Saccharomyces cerevisiae S288C: one gene and its partners. The gene in region 1 interacts genetically with each later gene. Each region holds a gene or a part of one and is shown in the gene's direction. Other genes may lie near its edges. The genes, in order: SSH4, EAR1 and SHR3.

Region 1 (4,061 bases):
GGAGATAAAAGATGAAGTGTTTTCAGCGGCCATGTATAGCAGGTTCGTGAAATCTGCCCTAGATGATCTGGATAAGAATGATTCAACCCAGATCGGCATAATTGCCAATCAAGTAGCGCTTCCGAGCAAGAATCCTGAAAGAATTAATGATAAGAATCTCAATATTCTTTTGGATATCTTATCTAGTAATATCAACAGGATAGAATCCTCCAGGGGAACTTTCCTCATACAATCTATCATAAACTTTGAGAAGTGGTGGGAATTGCCTCCACACACTCTAAGTAAATATATATATTTCATCAAAATCCTTTGCTCGAGTATACCCAAATGGTGGCAAGACGTTTCGATGATACTGGTATCTTGTTTTATTTTACCAATCAAACAGACAGTGTGTCATCATGATATGCTTAAATATTTCTTAAGGATGATTCCCTCCTCGATGGGATTCATAGATACATATTTGGCCAAATTTTTCCCAAATAAAAATGATACTCGGAGAAAGTTGGTTAATTACACTTCAAATTTGCTGAAATTGAGAGGCTACTGCTCTGAGCTAGGATTCCAAATTTGGTCCTTACTGATAGAAAAGATTATTTCGATTGATGTCGAGTTACAAAATGAATTAGATGAATTAGATGATGATGTAGATGACGATGATCTAGAGGAAGTTGATCTAGAGGATGACGACGATTTAGATGATGATTCAGGAGACGATGATGATGAAAATTGTGGGAACAGTAATGAAGAGTTAAGGTCTGGAGCAGCCGACGGTAGTCAAAGTGATAGTGAAGATATGGACATCATTGAAGGTATGGACGGTACTGAAGAATATAATGTGGAGTTGACGCAGGGAATCAAAGAACTTTCCACCAAATTGGACTCTATCTTAACTTTGGTAAGCACGCATGTGGAAGAGCAAGTGACGCCGGAGAGTTTAGAAAGCGGTGAAGGCGTAGGAGTCTTCAACACTCTAACAACATTATTTAAAACGCATGTTCTACCCACGTACTATACCAGGTCGATTCAATATATCATGTTCCATGTTTCACAACAACAATTAGAACTAATGGATTCATTTTTAGTGACACTGATAGATATTTCGTTTGCCGTCAACGAAGCAGCAGAGAAGAAAATTAAGTCATTACAATATTTGGGGTCGTACATTGCGAGGGCCAAGAAACTATCCAGAACTCAAATTATTTTCGTTGCAAGCTATTTAACGTCCTGGTTGAATAGATACGTTATCGAAAGAGAAGAAGAAGTTGATCAACGTGGAGGTATGGAAAGGTTTAAACATTTCTATGCAGCATTTCAAGCACTTTGTTACATTTTCTGTTTCAGACATAACATCTTCAGAGATACAGATGGTAACTGGGAGTGTGAACTGGACAAATTCTTTCAAAGAATGGTCATTTCAAAATTTAACCCATTAAAGTTTTGTAATGAAAATGTCATGTTGATGTTTGCTCGTATTGCCCAACAAGAAAGCGTCGCGTACTGTTTCAGCATAATTGAAAATAACAACAATGAAAGATTGAGGGGAATCATCGGCAAAGCTGATAGCGACAAGAAGGAAAATTCCGCACAAGCAAATACCACATCGTCTTCTTGGTCTTTAGCCACTCGACAACAATTTATTGACTTACAGAGTTACTTCCCATATGATCCTTTGTTTCTGAAAAACTATAAAATTTTAATGAAGGAATACTACATAGAGTGGAGTGAAGCAAGCGGGGAATATGAAAGTGATGGGTCGGATGACTAAGGTCTTTTTTCATAGGTATCTTCGAGACATGCCCGTCACAAACTAATGATACACTGTAGTCACCCCATTAATAGTTGAAATGAGGATATATAGCATAAATGCATTTAACACATTTTTTAGATTTCTAGATACTATAGAAACTTAGTATTTTTATTTTCCACAGTGTACTCTTCACGATATTTTGCATTTTAGAACGCTTGTTTGTTCTCGTCACTTACTACGTGCGCGCTTTACATTCGCAGGTCTACTTATTAAAGAGTTTCTGTGGGGAGGGGTTCCTGAGTCAAAATCTCAGCTATCCGAACAGCTTGTACTTAGATTACTTGGCACATATTTATATTCAGTAAAGTCAATAGTGGGTATTATTAATCGAAATAAACAGAACAAGCAGTAATAGCTCTTTTTTCATCTATTTTATTTGTAACTAGGAAGAAGAAAAAAACTTGAAGGTATACAAGAGCAATGTATGTCACTTTTAATGAGGCTTTGGATAGTTCTTTTGGTAATCTAGAGAGTCCGAATCATGACTTCAAAGTAGGTGACCCTAACATGGTACCAACTCCCCCTATGGATTCAGATTCTGCAGCAATTAGTTTGGCTTTCTTAATAAGTCTTTCTATTACGTTTGCAATATTAATGCTCATCTTGGTAGTAATAGCGGCATATGTCACCTTTTGTGGTGATGATGAATCAGAATACGACGAAGAGAACGCCTTAGGTACACGAACTTCAGGAACTCTGCACTCTTTGTTTGGTAAAAAACATAGTGGCATCTTGTTGGATTCGAGTTTTGCATCCCCTGGCGGGTTTGATGATGAGATCGTTCTTCAGGAAAGAGAACTTGAAGAATTACCAAAGATGTCAGCGTACGAGGTTGAGTTGTATATAAGAGCGAAAGAGTTTCAAATGATGAGCCCGCCAATGGTGAAGGACTTTGGCACGTATTTGGACAGTGACGACCAGCAGTTTATTAAGGATCGTGGCATTCAAAGCTATTTTTTGCTACCAAGCATTAATGATAATATAGACGAATATGGAAACTTTCTACCCAGTTTTATTGTCCAGGATAAACTAGATATTCAATTTTCAAAGTTCAATAAGAGCTCATCCACTGTAATGAACTATCCCCTACCTCACAATAGGAAGGACGCAGTGTATTTCGAAGTTAAAATTTTCAGACATATTCAAAAGTCCAATAGTATATTCAGTATAGGTTTGACTACTGTACCATATCCTTATTTCAGGGTACCGGGCATGGCCAAATACTCCATTGCATACGAATCCACAGGTAAACTGAGGATAAATAACCCCTTCACTGCCAGCACATTATTACCAAAATTGGAAGAAGGTGACACGGTAGGATTCGGTTACAGATATAAAACAGGTACAATCTTCATTACACATAATGGGAAAAAATTAATGGATGTAACACAAAATATTGGCATTGATCTTTTCATTGGAATTGGCGCGTTTAATGCCGCATATACAAGAACATATACGAGGGATGGTCTATTGGAAGACCCGGATAATGTTAGCTTCCGTGAAGCTCTCTCTGAAGGCAAAGATATTGAAGTCGCCAAAGATCTTCAAAGAGTTCACGATCCACATGATGAAAGTGATGAAATGACGTCAGATGAGGTTGAATTACATGTTAATTTGGGCCAAGTTGGGTTCGTCTTTATAGAAGCCAATGTGAAAAAATATGCGTTTGGGAGTGTTTATGGCCAAATTGGAATTCCTCCTGCGTATAATGGAACCGAGATCAAGAAGGATACTATTTTACAGAAAGGAGAAGAATTGCCACCAAGATATGCTGACACTGATAATTTCTTTGGTAGTATGAAGGTAAAAGAAGGGTCATCCTCTAGGATAACGGCGCAAACTAGTAAGCCCCTGTGGTCTGTTGGGACGTATGAAAGAATCTCTTCTAACTTTGACAGAGAAAATAATGTTTACCACGACAGTCTTGAAACCGACGATAACAACACCGATAACAATGTTAATAACAACGATGAGAACGCTGGTTGCAATGAAAATTCGCCATTATTGGAAGATGATGGCAATAAAAGACCGGAAAATTCAAATACCCCCCGTGAAGTATCAGATGGAGCTATCAATAAGAACCCTAGAAATAAATCTACTAAAAAACGTCAAAGAAACAGAGGCAAATCTTCTAAAAAGAAGAACAGATCGAGAAAATAAGAGACATTATGAATTTGGTTTTTTTTACAATTTACGCATACACAATATATACATTCCTACTAGCTTTTTTTTCTTCAATTCGATAGTTTAGATG
Region 2 (5,886 bases), on another chromosome or scaffold:
ATCTCTTGTGCCGTTTTACCTCTCTCCATACCGTTCAGAATGAACTTGTACAATCTTTTTCGCCTTGAAAAGGTCTTCTTATTTTTATTGAGCCTCCACTTGTTACCATACTTGGCCTCAAGATGCTTGATCGATGGCTTTCCTCTTATTCCAGTATCATACTCTTCCCATATAGTCTTTACGTCAGTGGGAGCCTTCAATATCCTATAATGTAAATCAGAGTTTATGTTGGGCTTAGTAGCCGACTCGCCGTGAAGCTTTCTTCTACCGTTTAAAGAGTTACTTTTTTTATGATGCAAGCTCCTCCTCCGCTTGTTAATCGAAGCGTTCTTCATATCTGTTTCGATTTCATCATCTACTTCATCTTCCTCAGCAGTGCTGTCTTCTTCATTATCCCTTCCATCACCTTCGTCATCACCGTCATCATCATCATCCTCTTGATAGCCATCATCGTCGACATTACTTTTCACTGTCATTGGTTTTGGGTACGACGGTAGAGTAGAAGCTCTGTTTCTATTTACAATATTCGTGTTCACCCCTGACTTACCACTCGGTAACAATTCAGATGTCGTGCTATCCTGATTGATCAATTGGGAAAATGATAGAGGCTGCTGGGTATTATTTATAATAGGGGGTATAACATTTTGATTTGGGGGAAAAGAAGCGTTATCTAGGGCTAAGCTGGGCAAACTTAAAGCTGTTGTCGTGCCAAAGTTATTCAATGAATTTAAGTCATGAAATGAATTTGAAGCACTGGTGACGCCTGAATGAATGGAAGAATTGGTATAATTCATGCTAGTTGTAGAATTATGAGAATTCGTTAATGGAGATAGGGCTGATATGGGCTTTTGTGCAGCACTAGCATGGTCATTTGTGCTCGCATTGTTGTTACTTTGCGTATTTCTTCTGCGCCGTTTAATCCCATTTGGGTTCAACTTGAATGGCTTGTCAGTTGAAGCGTTCGGGAAACTAATAGGCGAGCGATTTACCTGCTGATGTGTATTTGTGTTATGAATTAAAACCTGCGACTGGTTCTGATTGGCTTGTGTGTTTATAACAGGACCAAGTTGTCGGTTAGGGAGCGATTGGTTTATATTTTGGGAAACATTATTTCGATTATGCTGCTGATCAGGTAAGATAGTATTTAGTGCGTTAGAAAATTGGTTGTTTAGCTGTGCAGTATTCGTATTCACATCTATGGTTCCATTCGTAGTCCGATGCTGGTTGATACCAGAATGGGTGTTGGAATCTCCTGTACATAAATCAGCAGTATGCTGTCTACCAGAGCCATTATTCTGCATTTTCTGCAAGTAAGCACTACTAACGGCTGATATCGAATTTAGCAATTCGATAGCAAGCTTATTTTGGGCATTGTTTGTGCTTGGGCGCGCGCTTGGCTGCGCAACCAACTTAAGTAATATATTCAATTTGTTCATAACTTTATAGTTATCTTGTTTTAGGTTTAAAACCATTGTATTCTGTTCCGCGATCTTATTAGATAACTTGTTGAAGCTTTCCTCCATCTCAATCATTCGGGCACTCATTTCGTCCATTCTTTGAAAAATCTTCAACTGATCCGTCGATATTTCGTTCGACGGTGAATCATTAGTCAAGGATTGGCTTAACATACGCCCTGTACCCGCCGTTGTCGAGTTCGAAGCGGAAACATTCGAGTTCACCCGCTCTTCATTACTCAGTTTTTCACCAATAGTTTCTGTTGGTTGACTGGTACCTGTGGGTGCTGAAATCGCTGCTGAAGTCCTCAAAAGACCTCCATCTAGTGCATTTCCATCGTTGCGAAGTGTACTGGCGTTACTGCCACTGGCGCTCTCTGAACCAGTCGTAGGCGAAATGTGAGTGGGCAGTGAGAGGTCAAGATTGATACCTATAGCATCTTCATTTACTTGACTATTCATCCTGTACCCATCCTTTAATGTAGTGGGCATCATTAAGAATAAGAAGAAAGGGCTCATCAGTGTAGAATAATCGAAGCTGATGGTTATCCTATAAATCTTTGTACGTACGATGCAAAGAATCGCAATACCCATTCCAGACATTATGCTCCAGCCATATGTACCCTAAATATAATCTTTTTTGTATATAAAAAACCTAAAAAAGAGATAACTAAACCTAGCTCAATATTTAATTTGACCTAACCCTCCGTCGGCCCTTTTTTTTTATTTTTTTCTTCGGAACGGTGCGCTATAAAGAAAAAAGGCAAATTCCAGGTTATCCATATAAACGCCATAACAAAATTTCATTGATACAGGCTTTAAGAACCTTGCTCTATTTACTACTGCTCTTTCTTCCTCTCTCAGGTTGAGCTATTTTTGAGAATAGCGCTTTACTGCTGCATGGAGGAGTGATTTTTTATAGAACATTGAAAAACCAAAGGACTGGTGCCTAACTACAAAATTTTCAAGAGTTGTTTCAAGTTATCTATATTGTCATTGGTTAATAATTATAAAAAATCTTAAAGTTTGGAGAGCCAAATTTTTTTTCTATATAAAAAAGCAAATGTCATTCAAGTTTCTGATAGAATCGCTGCTTCTCGGTTCGATAAGCGGACAAATACGGTGTGGTAGATCTTCGGTGATCCCCCGTGGCGATGTATCTTATGGGGGAGACGATACTGACGAACTTAACATGGATATAATGTTGTTTGCGTTTGGAACCTTAATCGTGGTCTACATCGTCATCTGTATCGTTTATTTTTTTACAAAACAGATAGCTACGCGGCTTATAACTGCATATTATAATGAGCATGGCCCTGGCCAAAGAATATCTTTATTCAGCGATTATGACGAAAATAATGCACACGTTCATAGCAGAAGATTAATGGAAAACATGAGTTTAAGGTGGCCCAACAATCTTGACGATGCTGATGAAGTAAGAGATAAGCTGGCACAGTTGTCACCTGAAGAGCAGTTTTATTATAAGCAAGGTGAGGAGTATATCAAGCAGAACCCACCATTTCTGCTTAACCAGGGACTTTTACAACAGTCCGAAGATAGCAATCCAGACACCACCCGTGAAGACCCTATTATGAACGAGCAAACAAGGCAATATATTCAAGAAGAGGGGGCTTATGCATGGGAGTTTAGCCCAAATCCTGATATGCCAAACCATACTGTCATAGTGGAAAATAAAACAGAGGTTTCTTTTCTAAATTATAATTATGATGCTTCTATATCCACAAATCTACCCATTCCGTGTATAAATAAAGTATATTATTGTGAATTCAAGATATTTGAAACGGATGGCCCACTAAACAGTGATGAAAATGTATCGAAAGGTGTCATCTCATTTGGTCTTTCCACACAGCCTTATCCATATTTCAGGTTACCGGGAAGACACCACCATTCGATAGCATACGATTCTAACGGCGCCAGAAGATTTAATGACTCCTTCAAACTAAATGAGCAATTAAGAACGTTATTTCCACAGTGTGAAAAGGGAGACATTGTTGGCATTGGCTATAGGTCACGTAGTGGAACAGTATTTTTCACCAGGAACGGAAAAAAACTAAATGAAAAATCTGTTGGTGGTCATATCCGCGGCTGGAAATTCCAATACCTATACCCGATCATTGGCTCCAACGTACCTTGTCAAATTCATGTGAATTTCGGCACTTATGGCTTTGTTTATATAGAAGCAAACGTTAAAAAATGGGGATACGCAAAGTCAAACGGCATTAAATTACCTCCTCCTTCTTACGAAGACTACGGTAAAGATACCCTATTAGAAAGCGGTGGTGAAGACAATGATTTCGACGAAGATTTTTCAGACGGTGATAGCGACAATATTGCGGCTGGTAGTACTACAAATCTCAATGATGATATAATTATAAGAAACGGTGAAATATTACCGCCACCACCTGGATTTGAATTCACTATGTCCCCTCCCACTGGAAAGAAGATCATCAATGAGGAAATTAATCTAGATTCCTTACCTATGCTACCACCAAGTTACTCGGACGATGAACATCATTCGAAAAATGATAAATCAGCAATAAGCGGACGAATTATTGGAACGAGCAGAAATTTAATTACTGATGAAGCATCTTTCGATAGTGTTGATAATGATAACGAAGATGAAAATGATCACGAGAGAGATCCCGAACAATTTTCAGAATTTGATGATTACGAAAGCAGGATGCATGGCATATAATACGAAAATGCATGAGATAGTAAGGCTGAAACACTAGCCCCGGTCAGTTATCTTTTTTTGCGCTGTATTACGCAGAGCCACCATTTTTTAAAAACATTGCAATTTATAACGTTTTCTTCCTTATTGAGGGTTTCAACGCTATCACCTACTCGATATCGCAGTGCAGCATATAGATATTTACATACATATATACATATGTTTACGTACACTAGTAAGGGCAACTGGTTGACCCGCAAACTTCCTTCTTACTTTCCGTACTTTTGCCATCTTTACTTGCACCTCCGTGCTACCTCTTAATGTGTCACAAGAAGAACGTATGAAGTATTTGTCAGCGCTTCAGACATCAGCATGGGTTGCAAATGCGTGAGATTAAAATGAAGCGTTCCAGCTCGAAAGAAAATTTGCTTATCTTTCCCTTCTATCATTTTTTTTTTCTCGTTTTTTATTTTGCATTGCCTTATCTTTTGCCGCCAGAAGAAACAAGGTTGCCATTATCGTGCCATGCGTTTACTTGCTAACGCCCTATGATGTTCCCGGCGGCTTTTGGATACTAATAATAGCAATCATATACCCTTTATTGGTTACTCCTATCCAATGATGAGTTTTTTTAACTCGTTTAAACATTAGGGATGCAATCTTGTCGACACTCACTGATCATATCCCGAATTTTGCTCAAGAATGTTCATATAAAGGGAGCGAATCCTTAAAAATACTTTTGGCCCATTCCTATCATTTTTACATTGCATGTCCATCAAAAACAATCGTGAAAATAAGCCAAAAGAAAAATGCCTACCTTGTATACTGATATCGAAATCCCACAATTGAAAATCTCTTTAAAGCAACCGCTAGGGTTGTTTATCAACAATGAGTTTTGTCCATCATCAGATGGAAAGACCATCGAAACTGTGAACCCAGCTACTGGCGAACCGATAACATCCTTCCAAGCAGCTAACGAAAAGGATGTAGACAAAGCTGTGAAAGCTGCCAGGGCTGCTTTTGATAACGTTTGGTCGAAGACATCTTCTGAGCAACGTGGTATTTATCTTTCAAACTTATTAAAACTTATTGAGGAGGAGCAAGACACACTTGCCGCATTAGAGACTTTAGACGCTGGAAAGCCTTACCATTCAAATGCCAAAGGTGATTTGGCACAAATTTTACAGCTTACCAGATATTTTGCTGGGTCCGCTGATAAGTTTGACAAAGGTGCAACCATACCATTGACTTTTAACAAGTTTGCATATACTCTAAAAGTTCCTTTTGGCGTTGTTGCTCAAATCGTTCCATGGAATTATCCTCTAGCTATGGCTTGTTGGAAATTGCAAGGTGCCTTAGCAGCCGGTAACACGGTTATCATCAAACCTGCTGAGAATACCTCTCTATCTCTACTTTATTTTGCTACTTTAATTAAAAAAGCAGGTTTTCCACCTGGTGTTGTCAATATCGTTCCTGGTTATGGATCACTTGTAGGCCAAGCCCTAGCATCTCACATGGATATCGACAAAATATCTTTTACGGGAAGCACCAAGGTCGGTGGATTTGTGTTGGAAGCTTCCGGCCAATCGAACCTTAAAGACGTTACACTAGAATGCGGTGGTAAGTCTCCTGCTCTCGTATTTGAAGATGCAGACCTTGATAAGGCTATCGATTGGATAGCAGCTGGCATTTTCTACAATTCAGGACAGAATTGTACCGCAAACTCAAGAGTTTATGTTC
Region 3 (5,141 bases), on another chromosome or scaffold:
CGAGAGGATTCGTGGACAGTGAAGAGACCGAATCTTCTAGAGAATATACACGAGTAGTGAACATCCTCTCTTCCTCATAAACATTATATTCATGTTCTGTGGAGGTGCATGCAATCTCATCACATGTCGCCGTGGCTGTCGTGACTGGAATATTGTGACCGATAGTATTAGAAGAATTGTTGTTATGCTTGTTATCACTGATATCATTCGCTAGATTTTTTTTGGTACTACTGCTGTTTTTCTTTGATGTAAAGAAAATTAATTTGCCATAACTTTTGGGTAAACTTAACGAGTTTGAGAAAGATGACGTAAAATCGGTAGAATTTTTCCTCAATCTTCCTTTAGGAACAATAAATCTTGCTTCAACCTTACTGACCATGGGAGAGGAAATAATATTAGAGTCGATTTTAGATATGTTTTCGGGCATCTTCGTGTCAATTTTCTCCATCCAGGAAGTGGTCAGCTTTTGCACGTCCGTGTTTTCATCATCCCGGGAAGATGCAGTAAAGTCTGTCCGAGGTACACTATCTGCAACAGGGAGAGAAGAAAAAACGGAATCATATGATTTATTTAGCGCCTCACCCGTCTTAGCAGCCATATTCACACCAACACTAGTGGGATCGCCTAACGAGACGGAATATGCCCAATTATCGGAATAGGCGTGTTCTGCAGTCAAGGAAGCTGTAGTTTTGTTATTTCTCTGATTATATCGCAGGATTCTAGACAACGACATCACTCCGTATGATAAGTAAAAGGATTACGTACGCTATTGTGAACGTTTTTGCAATCTATCTAGTTTTTCCTATTAACTTTTTTCTTTTCAAAAATTCATAAAGGCAAGGAAATATGTTCCGATTGACAATAAGTTCAGTGAGTGAATGAATGTTAATGAAAAGAATTCAATTTCCAGATTTTCGTATTTATTTTTTTTTTTTGCACCTTTCCTTATTGTGTGACCACAGCCGAAGGTGACGAAGGGATGGAGACTAGCCAAAGAGAGCCGGCTGTTAGACAAAAAAAAAAGCGGAGATTGTTTAACGGATACGTCTTAATAAGCAATCCGGCAGCACCGAGAATGTTTTTACCCTCTGTCCTTTTTCTTGGCGTTCCTATAATTCAAATAACCCCCAATATGCTAACAGCCGTAACCTTAAATGTTAGACATGTTACCCCTGTACGTCATTGCGGGGGGAGTGCATTGATTAAGGGGTAGTAGTAAAAATTCCCACCGGACTTGAAGTGCGGAAAAGTAGCTCCGATTTGGGGAAAAAAAAGTACCAGCCGTCTCGTCTTTCATGATAAAGTGAAATAGAGCAGCGGTAATAATGCGGCGCTATTGCTTCCGGAAGAGTTTACGTATTGGGCATCTTTGCCATTTCTTTTTTTGGCAGTAGCATGATTCTGCACGATTATTTATGTTTTTCCCTTTATTTTCTTTTTGTCTAAGATACATGGCGTATAAAATTAAATTTGTACTCATTTAAGTAGTTTGGCTCTATCAGGATGAATTCCTGCAGGAACAGGCTTGTTGTCTGTTCCAGAGGTTTGAGCTGCAGTGGCGGTAGTTTTGGCGATTTTCTTTTGGTTGCCGTCGTTAATCATCTTTGTCAACCTCTCTTTACGTTCTTCATCCAACTTGATGTTTTTGTTTTTCAATTTTTCTAGACGCTCTTGACTGTTACCACCTCCGCCAACAGTTAGCTCGACATTGATCTTCTTCTCTTTCAGTAAGGTCCCATGTTGTAATAAGGCAATGTCCATACGTCTTTGAATGCCGGTGCGATCTTTGTCAGCATCGAATTCCAAAAATGCAATACCTTTGTCAGCTCTGAGGCGGATCTGGTCGGGTGAACTATTTTTAAAATGGTTTTGCAATTCAACAGCAGTGATGTCTCTAGGTAAGCTACCGACAAAGACAATAAATCTGTTGCCCTTTTTACCATTTTTGCCCTTACCACCACGGCCTCTACGTGTTTTTCTTTTTTTCTTCACGGGTTCTTCACCATCATTTCCGGCTGCACTGTTGGGTCTTTTTCCTTCTGGTGCTTGCTCTTTTTTTACGTCTTTCTCTTGATCTTTTTCCTCCTTACTTTTTCTAAACTGCTGAGCTTTGAGCTGCTTCTTGGTCAACTTTTTATCTTCCTCGGACCCCATTTTAGCTGTAGACGTCTTCAATCTCTATCCTGTCCTCTACATTAGATTACTTTCTCATTTTCTCAGAAAACCTTTTAAGCTCATCGATTAAGAAGAAAAAAATCTTAGAAAATTTTCAGGAATGCCGGGTAAACGTATGGGGAAAGGACTTGGTGAATCGAGTTAATGTGGAGTTCGTAATAATAGTACTCTCATACCAAGTTTTCCATCCATAATTGTTTTTGGTTGCCGTTACTTTACACCATCACCTTTCGCCAATGTAATTGGTGGCTCTTTCCCTCTCCATCTTTTTTTATAATGTACTAAAATTAATACACGATAACAATTTTTTCGGGTTGTGTAAAAACTCTGAAAAATATAAAAAGTTGATGAAAGGACAGATTTAAGTATTTTGGAAGACAGCCGTAAATTCATTGGACTACAGAGCATAAAATCCCGTGATACGATAAAACTCTAACGATGTTCTCATATTCAGATTTCTGTTCTATCGGTACGGCCATGATCTTATCGGCCACAACGTTCCTAATGGGTGTTTTCTTCAGTAACATGCCATACGATTATCATCTTTTATTTAATCCTAACTCTACTCAAGAGCATTTCGATTTGGCACTGAGACATTACCAAATTTTACATGAGACTCCATTGCCGGTGATTGTTACTTTGTGCGTTGTTGCCGGTATTGGCTTAGTTGGTGGTACAATTAAGGTTTTCAAGCCAAACCCTGAACTGCAGATGTTTGAGTATTGTTCATTGGGGTTGTACGTGTTGGCTATCTGTGTGTTTCTCACTAATGTGAAAACAGGTATCGACTGTTCTGTGAGCCATAATTGGGGAGAAGTTACGGAAAATCAGGGTTTGGCAGTTATTGCTTCCTCCAACATAATTTTATTAGTTATGTTTGCCGGTGTTATCATCCTACAAATTGGTTTGTGGTACAGTAACTGGGATTTGCAAAAAAGATTAAAGGAGTTTTATGCTCAAGAAGAAAGAGAAGCTGCCAATGCCGGTAAAAAGACTGAGAAAGTTGACAATGCGAAAAAGAATGATAACAAATCTAAAGGTGCTCAAAAGAGGAAGAACGCCAAAAAATAGGCCATAATATTTTTAACATTTTCTCTTTTTGTCCCTCTTTTCCCGTCTGTGACGAAACAGACGATTATACGAATCTAGTTGTATAGTAAGATCAATATTTATTATATAAATACTGTTGAATAAATAAAACTCTATCTGCTTCGTGCATAAATTTACAAATAATTCCAAAGAAATAGCAACAAGTACCAGCCTTGTTTAGAAGTACGAAAATCTTGGAATCCACTTTTTTCTATTTTTAAATAATTTCTCTCAAAAAGCTATTGGTTTGCTGAATATTTGGCCGAGTAATAGTAGACGCACTGGAACTTGTTTCTTCAATGGATGACTCCGCAGATTCATTGTATGACGATACGTATGAAAATCTCCCGGATTCGTGATCCGCCATCCCATAATAAGGATGTGCTATATATATACCGTCTGAGGAACTAGCTCTGTGTAAATCTCTACCATTTTCAAAGGAATCTCGTTTGCCCTCGCCGTTGGTTGTTACTTTATAATTAAGGACATTTAGGAACGGATTTGACGGTGCTTCTGTTTCTGTTACCTCATCACAACTTACCCTCTTGCCAATATCATGGCTAAAGCCCTTTTTGCTGTGATTTTTCACGTTTCGTCTGTTTCTAATAATTATGAATCCGATAAAAATTACTATTACAACTCCAATGACAACTCCAACCGTAGAACCGACAATAACTCCGGTCCTTCTATTATTGGCATCTGAGGTATCTTGAGTGTTTAGTGCACCAGATAGATATTGATAAAGTTTAGCATCCCCGGTAATGGTATTGGATGGAATGGTGAAAGTTAACGGAGGATTTGATTCTTGAAGCACAGTTGTTTGGGGAAAGTGGGTGTTAAATGTTGTCGATCGCTCTGTAAATTTGTATTCTTGGTCATAGATGATATAAACTGAGTTCTCGCTGGTGAATACGGAGTATATTTCCGATGTAGAGGTTGAGGTAAATGTTGTAGATAATGGTGTTGTTAGTTTAGTCGTCGAAGGCTCTATGGTTGGCACCTGTGAAGTAGTGAAAGTCTTCAATGTACTTAACAGTCCTCTATCGATAGTGATATTGCTTTGAACAGAGGAAGTGCAATTGCTAACCAGATATTGTGGACTTGAAGTGTTGTTGCGGAAGGAAGTCGTACCATATGCGGTTGATATGGGGACCTGAATCGAACTTTCTAAACCCTCAATGAGGTTCGTCGTAATTGAGGATACAACCTCAGTGGATAATGCAAAAATGTGGTCTGTAGCTGATGATAAGCTGGCGGTTTCTGACGTGTCAATTTCACTCAGACTTCTGGATTGAGGTGTGCTTATGTATTGCGAAGACGTTACATTTAGTAGCATGGCGAAGTATCGCAATAGAAAGAATTATCAAGATGCCTCGCGCCTTTTGAGGATGTAAAAATAAATCTTAACGTTCTATGAATTACTTTATTATCTCGAGCAGAACCATCTGAATTTTGTTTACGTTTAATCTATGAGAAATTTCTCTGACGCGAAATCTTTCACGTATTTTTAGAGCGCCCGCCCAAGGTAACATACAATACGGTTGATATCTCCTAGTTTGATGCGGTTAGTGAAATTAATATAATGAACTAATATACTCTTTTTTTTGTAAAATATGTACTTGAGCTGCTGCATTCTTCTTCCATCGTCCAGTGATATCGGTAAACCGGTAGCTTTTTCTTAACTTTGAACAAAGAAGAGATAACTACGGACCCTTCTCCACGTTTCGATCTTTGGCTTCACTTCCTCATAGCCTGTATTTGAATCTAGCAGGTGTAATATTGTGGAAGAATGAAAACAGTATTTTTAATGGATTACTAAGGCATATTTAATGCGTTGTCAAGGAGGATGCTTGCACTGCAAAAACGATACATAAGTT

What was found.
Region 2: of SSH4 (region 1) and EAR1, changing one enhances a phenotype caused by changing the other (phenotypic enhancement), as found in Saccharomyces cerevisiae (one study listed by BioGRID).
Region 3: of SSH4 (region 1) and SHR3, extra expression of one rescues a mutant of the other (dosage rescue), as found in Saccharomyces cerevisiae (2 studies listed by BioGRID).

The regions. Positions count from the first base shown.
Region 1 is NC_001143.9:208,366-212,426, forward strand, and holds SSH4 (Ssh4p), read left to right. Parts: upstream 1-2,227; coding exon 2,228-3,967; downstream 3,968-4,061. Other genes in the region: RRN3 (rDNA-binding RNA polymerase I transcriptional factor), read left to right, coding at 1-1,765. UniProt on the Saccharomyces cerevisiae protein: Components of the endosome-vacuole trafficking pathway that regulates nutrient transport. May be involved in processes which determine whether plasma membrane proteins are degraded or routed to the plasma membrane.
Region 2 is NC_001145.3:602,152-608,037, reverse strand, and holds EAR1 (Ear1p), read left to right. Parts: upstream 1-2,517; coding exon 2,518-4,170; downstream 4,171-5,886. Other genes in the region: HOT1 (Hot1p), read right to left, coding at 1-2,057; aldehyde dehydrogenase (NAD(+)) ALD2, read left to right, coding at 4,956-5,886.
Region 3 is NC_001136.10:75,813-80,953, forward strand, and holds SHR3 (Shr3p), read left to right. Parts: upstream 1-2,613; coding exon 2,614-3,246; downstream 3,247-5,141. Other genes in the region: serine/threonine protein kinase PRR2, read right to left, coding at 1-733; NOP6 (Nop6p), read right to left, coding at 1,477-2,154; YDL211C (uncharacterized protein), read right to left, coding at 3,482-4,600.